Linked DNA regions of Coturnix japonica. The protein of the gene in region 1 purifies or fractionates together with the protein of each later gene. This does not show direct contact. Links are inferred from orthologs where the notes say so. Each region holds a gene or a part of one and is shown on either strand. Other genes may lie near its edges.

Region 1 (4,264 bases):
AGTTATCTCTCTCTCTGAGGTTTGCTAGAAAAAGAGAGAAGTACAGTTCAGGTTAAATCTCCATTGTTTTCAGTTTCTAAGACTCAGAAGCAAAGTGCAGTCACAACTGATCCACTCTTAACAGCCAATGATTTTCATTATTCAGAACACAATAAAGACTTGCTACAAAAAGACTAGTTCCATTCCACTGCCTTTAAGAGAGTGATCTCCAATAATACACGAGATACGCTGCTTACATAAGAACCCCAAAATAATTCTACAGCAGAGATACCTTCCCACAATGTAAGATTTCCTTTAGATTCTCACAATCAACATTAGTTTTTGCTGGAAAAGAGTATGAACACAACCAAAGTAACATAATATGTAACTAGAACTAAGCTCAGCCAAAATCAGAGCAGTAATTAATAAACTACTGTCTAAATATTGAATGAGTAGAACTATGGGACCTGTCCACAAAAGTTATTTAAGTATTTAAGACTTTAAGTACTACAACCCAGTAAAGCCTCTGTGCTTACCATTGTTTTAATTGAACCAAATGAGGTAATGGCCTGGCGAAGGTACGATGTGTCAGCCTCAAAATTCAGGACAGAAGACTCCTCTGGTTTAAGAGTGAGACTTTCCAGTCTGAAGGAGCAAGATGAGAGTTACAGCCTTATGTTTTTAACTTCTACACCTGTACAGCTGCCTTGGCACTGATTAACAAAAACAAAACATTTTTACTGCTTGTACAAAAACAAGGAGATGTAAATTCACAACCTAAAGCAAAGAAACCAGCAAAGCACAACTTCTTCCTTCTTACTTCAAATGAAAATCTGAAGTGATGTGCACAAATGAGCACACCTACTCCTTTCTATGGTCTTGCTTTGTTTTTTACCAATCTAAGGTGCAGATGAGAGGAATCATACTTCAAAGTGCTTAAAGACTCTCAACTATGAACTATTAAAACACAGAAATGGTGATTCAGGTTAATTATTAGTTCTTCTAGAATCACAAATAGGGTTAAATTTCTAAGTCAAAATAAATTACCGACTGTATTAGCTCGCATTGTAATCAATATTTACCTCTCCAGGCAAACTGAAATCTGGTTCGCTAGTTCGTTGTTGTAGGAGTGTTCCAGCTGATGAATAAGGCAATTGAACTGTCCCAAGAACTGTGTGGAAGACAAAACACTCATTATTGTTTGGGCTTCTCAAGTTAAAACCAAGATAACTACAAAGATGCAGTTCATTTTAAAATCCCAGTGCAACCACCTCTTACCCAGTAGAGCTGCTGAGCTTGCTGCTGCAGCGCCTCCTCCTTCAGCTGCTGGATGAGATCTACCTGCTCAAACAGCCACACCTCACGGCTGCGCAGGCATTCCAGCTGGCGGCTGATATGGCTGTGAATCTTGGCTTTAACCTGCAAGGCAGCATTATAGCATTATTCATTGCTGTTATATCTGTCAGATGGTACCAACAAGCACATGCTGGGCAGGTTACAAAACTCTATTTCTCAGGCACAAGTGGTATTTTTGTACCAATTTATTCCTCAAGCTCTAAACCACAGTAACCCACAACGCCACATGACTCACAAGTCAGTGCAAGTTTCCAAGCTGCCTCTAAAGATGATCAAATAACAACGTTATTCACAACATCCCTTTACTCAGATGCTTCAGCCAGAAGCTTTAGAAAATGCCACATGCCTGGGCTAGAAGTACAAAACAACCTCACCTAAAGCATGCCTAAATTACAGGCCAAGAGACTTGCCCATCTATTGGAAACCTTCAGATCACCCTCCCAACAGAAAGTACTCTGGAATTATTTAAACTGCCAGTGAAGTCAGACTAGTTATTAATGCATCGTTAACGAATGAAGAATTACCTCTCGCCAGTTCTCTTTAATCTGCTGCTCGGCTTTGACAATTCCAGAGATAGCTGTTTCCAAGTCCTTCCTCGCCTGAAGGCACTTTGCCAGCGTCTCGCTGCTGCAAGAACTTCTATTTCTGTCTTGTGGCAGACTCATTCTCAGCGTGTTCCTAAAGCACAAGGAAAAAAAACACTTAGAAGCTTCCGTTCTTCCTTAAGGAAAGAGGAAGGGAAGAGCCATCGATGTTGCTTCACTATTAAATGCAACAACAAAGCCTGAGACCCCACAGCGACTGAGTTCTGTGAGCAGAGCTGAAGCTTTCTCTGAGAGCAACAGCAGACTCCGGGGTGCTTTGGCACAAGGAATTTATGCAACCACAGGAAAACCAACAGATATTTGCCAACAGGCTCAACCGCAGGAGCTGAGGCAATCCTCCCTGCTGCTCACGTGCCCCTGCATTTCTGTCTAGCCAGCAAACTGCAGCAGCTGGGAGCTGATCTGGGCAAGGCTCTGCAGAGCTGATGGGGAAGGCAAGACCAGCCTGGCAAGGCTGCAATTCTATCCTTGTACTGACACAGCCTGGCTCATTCACAGCTGCTGCTCTACAAGGTTTCACACCCTTCACCTTGCTAACGTACTCCTTAGAACATCCTTTAGATTCTCCCTTTTTTGCCTTAAAATCAACCACCCTCAAGCCCTGGGTTAGGTTATAACCAGGACTCAAACTCAACTCCCTGATATACAGCCTGCAGGAGTGCAACCTCTCAGAAGCCATCTGGAAACGTTAGTATGAAAGTCAGAGAAAACCAAGCAAAAAGGCAGTGACACGGCTATACCCAAAGCTGCCACATATACAAAGCAATACGAATAGATCACAGACCGTATTCCTTACATAAGAACCACACCGCCGTGCCCTCCACAAAGAGCAGCAAACGCCGCCCTCCGGCTCTCGCAAAATGGCTGTTCTGCCTCGTCAGGAATCAACAGCCAAATGCACGCAGCGTTACGGAACGAGCCGGATCGCTCGTTTCCTTTTCCTCAGCCCCTTCAGTCAACAACGCAGCCGCTCAGGACGCCCGTCCCTGCCTCACAGCGGCCCCGAAATACCTCAGCGGGCGGACCGGGGGGCAGCAGCAGGTACCGAGGGGCAGCAGCAGCAGCAGGTACCGAGGGGCAGCAGGTACCGAGGGGCAGCAGGTACCGAGGCGCTCCCCGGGGCTGGGCCGGGCAGCTCCGCGTCTTATCGAGGCGGCCAGGCCCCGCTCCGCCCCGTCCTCACACGGGGCGCACAGCGAGGGCGTGGGAGCCGGAGGAGCCGCTGTTGGGGGGGGGAAGGGCTCAATGAACAACATACAGCTCGATGAACAACAGAAATCCCGTTCCGAACCGCAGTCCCGGCACGGCGCAGCCCCCAGTCCCCGCAGCGCACCGACCCCCGGCCCGCAGCCCGCACTCACCGTGCGCTGCCCGCGCCCCGCTCCGCGCTCAGCACCGCCGCTGTCGGGACACGAACGGCCGCTCTCGCGAGATGGGCGCCCCGAGCGCCGCCTGGAGGAGCGGAGGAACGGCTGCAACGTTGGGGGGTGCGAGGGTCAGAGCGCCGCTTGTTAAAGGCCGCCCCTAAGGAGCGTGGAGTGCTGCCTGTGTGAGGAAACATCTGGTTCCAACCCCCTGCTGTGTGCAGGGTCACCAACCAGCAGCCCAGGCTGCACAGAGCCACATCCAGCCTGGCCTTGAATGCCTGCAGGGATGGGGCATCCACAGCCTCCTTAGGCAACATGTTCAGTGCGTCACCACCCTCTGGGTGCAAAACCCAACCTAATCCAACCTAAACCTGCCCTGTCTCAATCAAAGAGAAGGCTGAGAGAGATATCTCAAGTGCAAGAGGCAATTGGACAAGGCCAGACTCCTATTAATGGTGTGCCACAGCGTAGCTTGCCCCATACTGGGCAGCACAGCACTGTGTAAAAGGGAAAGTGATGCTGCCGTGTGAGGCAGACCCAGCTGGGTGCCCTGACAGGACAGCCATGCCCTTGTCAATGTGAGGCAGCAGTGCCAAAGCACAGCCTGCAGTTAGGGCCATCACTGCAGGTGTCATGGCACAATGCCCACAGTGCAGCCAGCAGCAGGCTCCCCATTGGAAACAGGCCATTTTCCCTTGGTCTCCACAACCCTGCAGCTCACCCTCCCACACACACACACACACACACACCTCCTCTGACGTCTGTCCTTGGTCCCCTTCCAGACAGGCCGTGACCTGGCACACAGTCCCACAGCTGCCTCCAGCCCTGTCCCTGCCTTGTCCTTCTGGGCCTGGCCAGGGCCAGAGCACATGAAAGCATCAAATACCCACACACTGTTATTTTTCTGTGAGAGAAATAACAACATCTTAAACCTAATAACAACTCCTTAAACCTAAG
Region 2 (4,182 bases), on another chromosome or scaffold:
AGATTGCCCATGCCATATGGTATCAGGCTGAATAATAAAGCTGGGGGAGTTTGCTAGGGGTGGGCTGCCACCTTGAGATTAGCTGAACACCAGCCAGCAACTGCACCACACATCACTTCTTTAGTATATCCCTTATATTTCCTTCCATTTCTGTCCTGTCAACTCCCTTTTGTCTCAGCCTCTAAAAATCCCTTCTCTAATGTTCCCCCCATCGCAGTAGGGGAGGATTGAGGGGATTGAGTGAACATGAGATTGCATAGGTACAACCTCAAAGAAAACCAAACTGTTTAAGATATCCAAACAGGGAAGCTGAAAACTATTTTTCTTAAGTGACCATCACTTACTGTTTTCTCCATAAAGATTTGCTATGTATCAAACTGAACATGCTAGTAGTAAATCAAAACAGTGGAAAAACGAGTAAAGGGAGCAAATTATGCCATGAAGTCTTGCAGCAAGTCCTAATTAACAACTGGGAAAAGACTATTTTGTCATCTCAGCTCTAGTCACAAGAGTAGAAATCCAAGAAGGCACATGCAGTTCAACGTAAATGAACCACTTACACTGTAGTTCACCATTCCCAGCACCACCACCACCACCCTCTAAAACCACTATAAGCTACATATATGCAGCTGTTCTTATGGAGGAAGTGACTCCTAGTAGGTCAGCAAGTTAATGTGCATACCTAGACTTTGCCCAGACTGGCCACCACACACAGATAACAGCAACACGTGCTCAACCACTGGCAGCTGCTGCTGCTTTTCTACATGAAGCCTCTCAGGGAAATTCCTTCCCAGACAGCCTGGAGACAGGCCCTAAGATTAGTACTGCATTAGGCATAACAACCCAGAGACCTAGAGCTCACCTTGATGTCCTGCAAGAAGATGCGCCCACCTCTCTGATTTTGCAGCTTCATCAGCTTCTCAGCATGTTCACGCTCCTCATGGGACTGGTGCAGGAAGTACTTGGCAAAGTTTTTCAGAGCCACATCATCCCGGTCGAAGTAGTAGGACTGAAAAATAAGAATTTGTGCACTGAGAAACTCAAGTCTCACTCTAGCTGCAGCACAAAGCAACATTTATGCTGTAACTTCAAACATCTCAGCCCTTCAAGAAGACTAGAGCCCAAGAGGGGGGTTACCAGCAGCACGACAAGCAGCAGGGTAACATGACCAAAATCCTCCCTCTATGGAAAGTTCAGCTTTCCCTGATATATTTAAGCTTTACTTGATTTTAATCCATGTCCTGCTTAGTAAATACAACTAGCTGGATTTGTGGTTCACTTATGAATACGTGAAAACCCACACACCACTAAGCTCTCTAAGCTCTGCCACCTTGAGCACCTTGCTTTCCAGGATTGTTTCCTACTCTTTTCATTGACTCAAATTCATTGACAATGGTCTCAAGTCAAAGTTCTAAACGTAGCACCTGCTAAGAGTAAGTAAAGAGTGAGCAGAAACACTGAAGTACTTCTTCAATAACGCTTTCATGCATACTCCACCAGATTTAGCAGGTGTTAGACCAGCAATATGCTTCCTACTTCTGAGAAAGCCTTTAGTACTACATTTAAAAGCAAAAAGCTTAACTGCATTTAGAACACCTATTCAACAGCATAAACAGCTCTAGAAAGCCACATCTGTGACAACTGTTAGAAGCCATCCCACAACTCCTTTTCCTTTAAAGATAAAGAGCAGAATAGAAAGCTTTTTATCTGTGTATTACTTGTATCTTTGTATTTGTGAGTTATCTACCAGGGAAGAACCTGCAGAGCTCTGAGTTCTAGCAGCAGCAGCTCAGAGGCTCACAGGACGCTGGTGTTTGTGTACCACTATCACCAAGAGCCTGCAGTGGAGGGTCACGTCCTCGTAGTAACATAGCAGCAAGCACTTTAATCCTACACCAGCACACTGCGATACAATACAGGTAGGAAGCTGCCTGCAGAGGTCAGAGCTGCTGTCTGAACTGCGGGCACCAACTCGAGAGCTGCGTGCCAAGCACAGAACCGGGGATGCCACGGATTCCTCCTAATTCACTTCAAAACCGGGACCCGAGAGCCGTGCCTCCAGAGAACGCCAGTGGGAGAGCTGCCAAGCGCTCCATCGGGCAACCGCCGCTACCCAGCCCTGCCCCAAGGGCAGCGCCGCCCGGCAGCTCTGAGCCGCGCCGATAACAGCAGTTAACGCCAGGCCGAGGCCGGCCCGGAGATAAGAGCCTCCCTCCCCCCCTGCATCCAGCGAGCTGCGCGGGCCGCCCCCTCCCCTGGGGGGAGGAACTGAGCGCGGCTGCGCCGGGAGGCACCGCCCGGAGCCGCCCCCCGCCGGGCCTTGCCCGGGCCTGTCCCCGGAGATACCGGGCCCCAACCCCCGCTAAGGCCTTGTCCGCCCCGCTCCGGCGCTCACCATGCTGAGGTACACGTAGGAGGCGTACAGCTCCAGGTTGATCTGCCGGTTGATGGCGGCTTCGCAGTCCTGGTGGTAGTTCTGGCGCACCTGGGAAGGAGGCGTAGCCATGGCGCTGCCGAGATAGAGAGAGATCGATGCGATGGATACGACGGCTGCTGCGGTGGCGGTGGGGGGAGGCGGCGGGTCCGAGCGCGGCCGGTTCCGTCCAAGCACTGTTGACGCAGGAACCCGCTCCGCTCAGCCTCGCCGACGCGCTCTGAGCGCTCCCGCCCCGCTCCGCCCCTTTTATACCGCCGCCCCCACGGGGAGGGGGGACGGGGCGGGGCTTCCGTGCGCTGCCCGCCGGGCGCCGGCCGGGCCGCCGTGACTCAGCACCCGAGCGGGGGGCGGCACTTCCAATGCGGGCGGGACCGGGGGGCGATGGGTCAGAGATGGGAGAAGCCTAAAGGGACCATGGAGCAGCAGGGCAATGGACAAAGGAACCGTGTGCACACATAGAGACGCCAAGCATGGCCTCCTGCTGCTGTGCCATCACCTTTCTAATGTACCATTAGAAAACGCTGACATTTATCAGGAGCACTCCAAGCAATGGCAATGTGAATCACTGAGCCTACAAGCTCTGGTTGGCTTCATTTTTCCTCAGACATGCCCCGTTCTGCAAAGTTTACTATGGTCTTTGAAGCTGTGATTGCCCCCGGGTGATGCATAGGGGTGTGTTTGCTTTTTTAGCTGGGTGTCTGAAAGAATCGGGCAGCCGATGCCTTCCTTTGTCTCACGGCTTTCCTGTCGGTTAACAGTCAGGAGTCATTAAGATCGTGAAGTTAAGGTGGATGGTGCCTCTTGCTTCTCAGGCTGCCAGCTACATTTGAATTCTCCTGTTCGCCTCCCACGCTAATGCTTATGTAAAGGAAGAAAGGAAGAAAGTTGTAACCGCTGGGCAGAGTTGCATTATTGTTTACATAGTGTGGTATTTTCAGCAGCTGGAAGCTGAACCCTTGCTTTTGGCTGGAGTTGTCCTCTCAAAGCACAAACCCCTTTATAGCTTTATGATCAGGTAGGCCTCTATACTGCCAGCCGATGGCAGAGCACAGCTCAGTACTCCAGAAGGGCTAACCTTGAACCTACTTCCAAACGATTTCCCAGCAGCTTCTAGATTGCAAACCATTGCTTGTTGTTTTTTTCCAGTCTCATTGTGACCAAGCACGCATAAATCCTCATTACGGTGTTTCATGAAAGGCTGCGCAACAGCACAATTCATAAGGAACTGAGCAAATACCCTATTAATAACAGGAATGCGTCCTCTGTAGTTTGAACAGTCTGTGCCACCCGTGATCAAATGTCAGTAAGATAAGGGAAGCAGTAAATTCTGCTTTTTTAGATCAATGGCAAGTTGCACAAACACACACATCAACATCGACAGCAGCAGATTTTGCTTGGTCAGAATAGGAAACATAGGGCTGCAAGGCCATGCATCACGGCGTCTTGGGGACAAACAGAAGGCCTGTCTCTCACTCTTGTCTGAAAGTGTTCAGGTTTAGCTATAACCAAAACTTCTCTGTCTCAAACTACCATCACAGCGCTTTAACTTTGTTCCATCATGTTTTCCTTTGGCTTGTTTTAAGCCCTCTTTCATCCTCCAGGAGTGCAGTTATGGGCATGCTCAGGAAGCAGCCTGGCAGAAGCATTATCGTGCTCTGTCCAGGCTTCACATCAAATGACATTCACATCTGTTAACCAACAAGCTCATCTTCTGCACCCAGCAATGCTTTGCACACTACTTTCTG

The links. Proteins that work in one complex are often made in the same cells at the same time.
Region 2: the proteins of NCOA4 (region 1) and FTH1 purify together in Homo sapiens (co-immunoprecipitation; 6 studies listed by BioGRID and IntAct, counting the BioPlex papers as one, with this or other methods). This does not show direct contact. The link is inferred for Coturnix japonica from reciprocal best matches to the Homo sapiens genes NCOA4 and FTH1.

What each region holds. Positions count from the first base shown.
Region 1 is NC_029521.1:1,953,557-1,957,820, reverse strand, and holds the start of NCOA4 (nuclear receptor coactivator 4), read right to left. Parts: upstream 2,801-4,264; 5' UTR 2,739-2,800; coding exon 2,737-2,738; intron 2,014-2,736; coding exon 1,860-2,013; intron 1,399-1,859; coding exon 1,258-1,398; intron 1,151-1,257; coding exon 1,062-1,150; intron 625-1,061; coding exon 516-624; intron 25-515; coding exon 1-24. Other genes in the region: translation initiation factor IF-2-like, read left to right, coding at 2,801-2,981, 3,022-3,455. UniProt on the Homo sapiens protein: Cargo receptor for the autophagic turnover of the iron-binding ferritin complex, playing a central role in iron homeostasis. Acts as an adapter for delivery of ferritin to lysosomes and autophagic degradation of ferritin, a process named ferritinophagy.
Region 2 is NC_029520.1:7,909,965-7,914,146, reverse strand, and holds the start of FTH1 (ferritin heavy chain), read right to left. Parts: upstream 2,801-4,182; 5' UTR 2,507-2,800; coding exon 2,396-2,506; intron 1,010-2,395; coding exon 863-1,009; intron 1-862. UniProt on the Homo sapiens protein: Stores iron in a soluble, non-toxic, readily available form. Important for iron homeostasis. Has ferroxidase activity. Iron is taken up in the ferrous form and deposited as ferric hydroxides after oxidation. Also plays a role in delivery of iron to cells.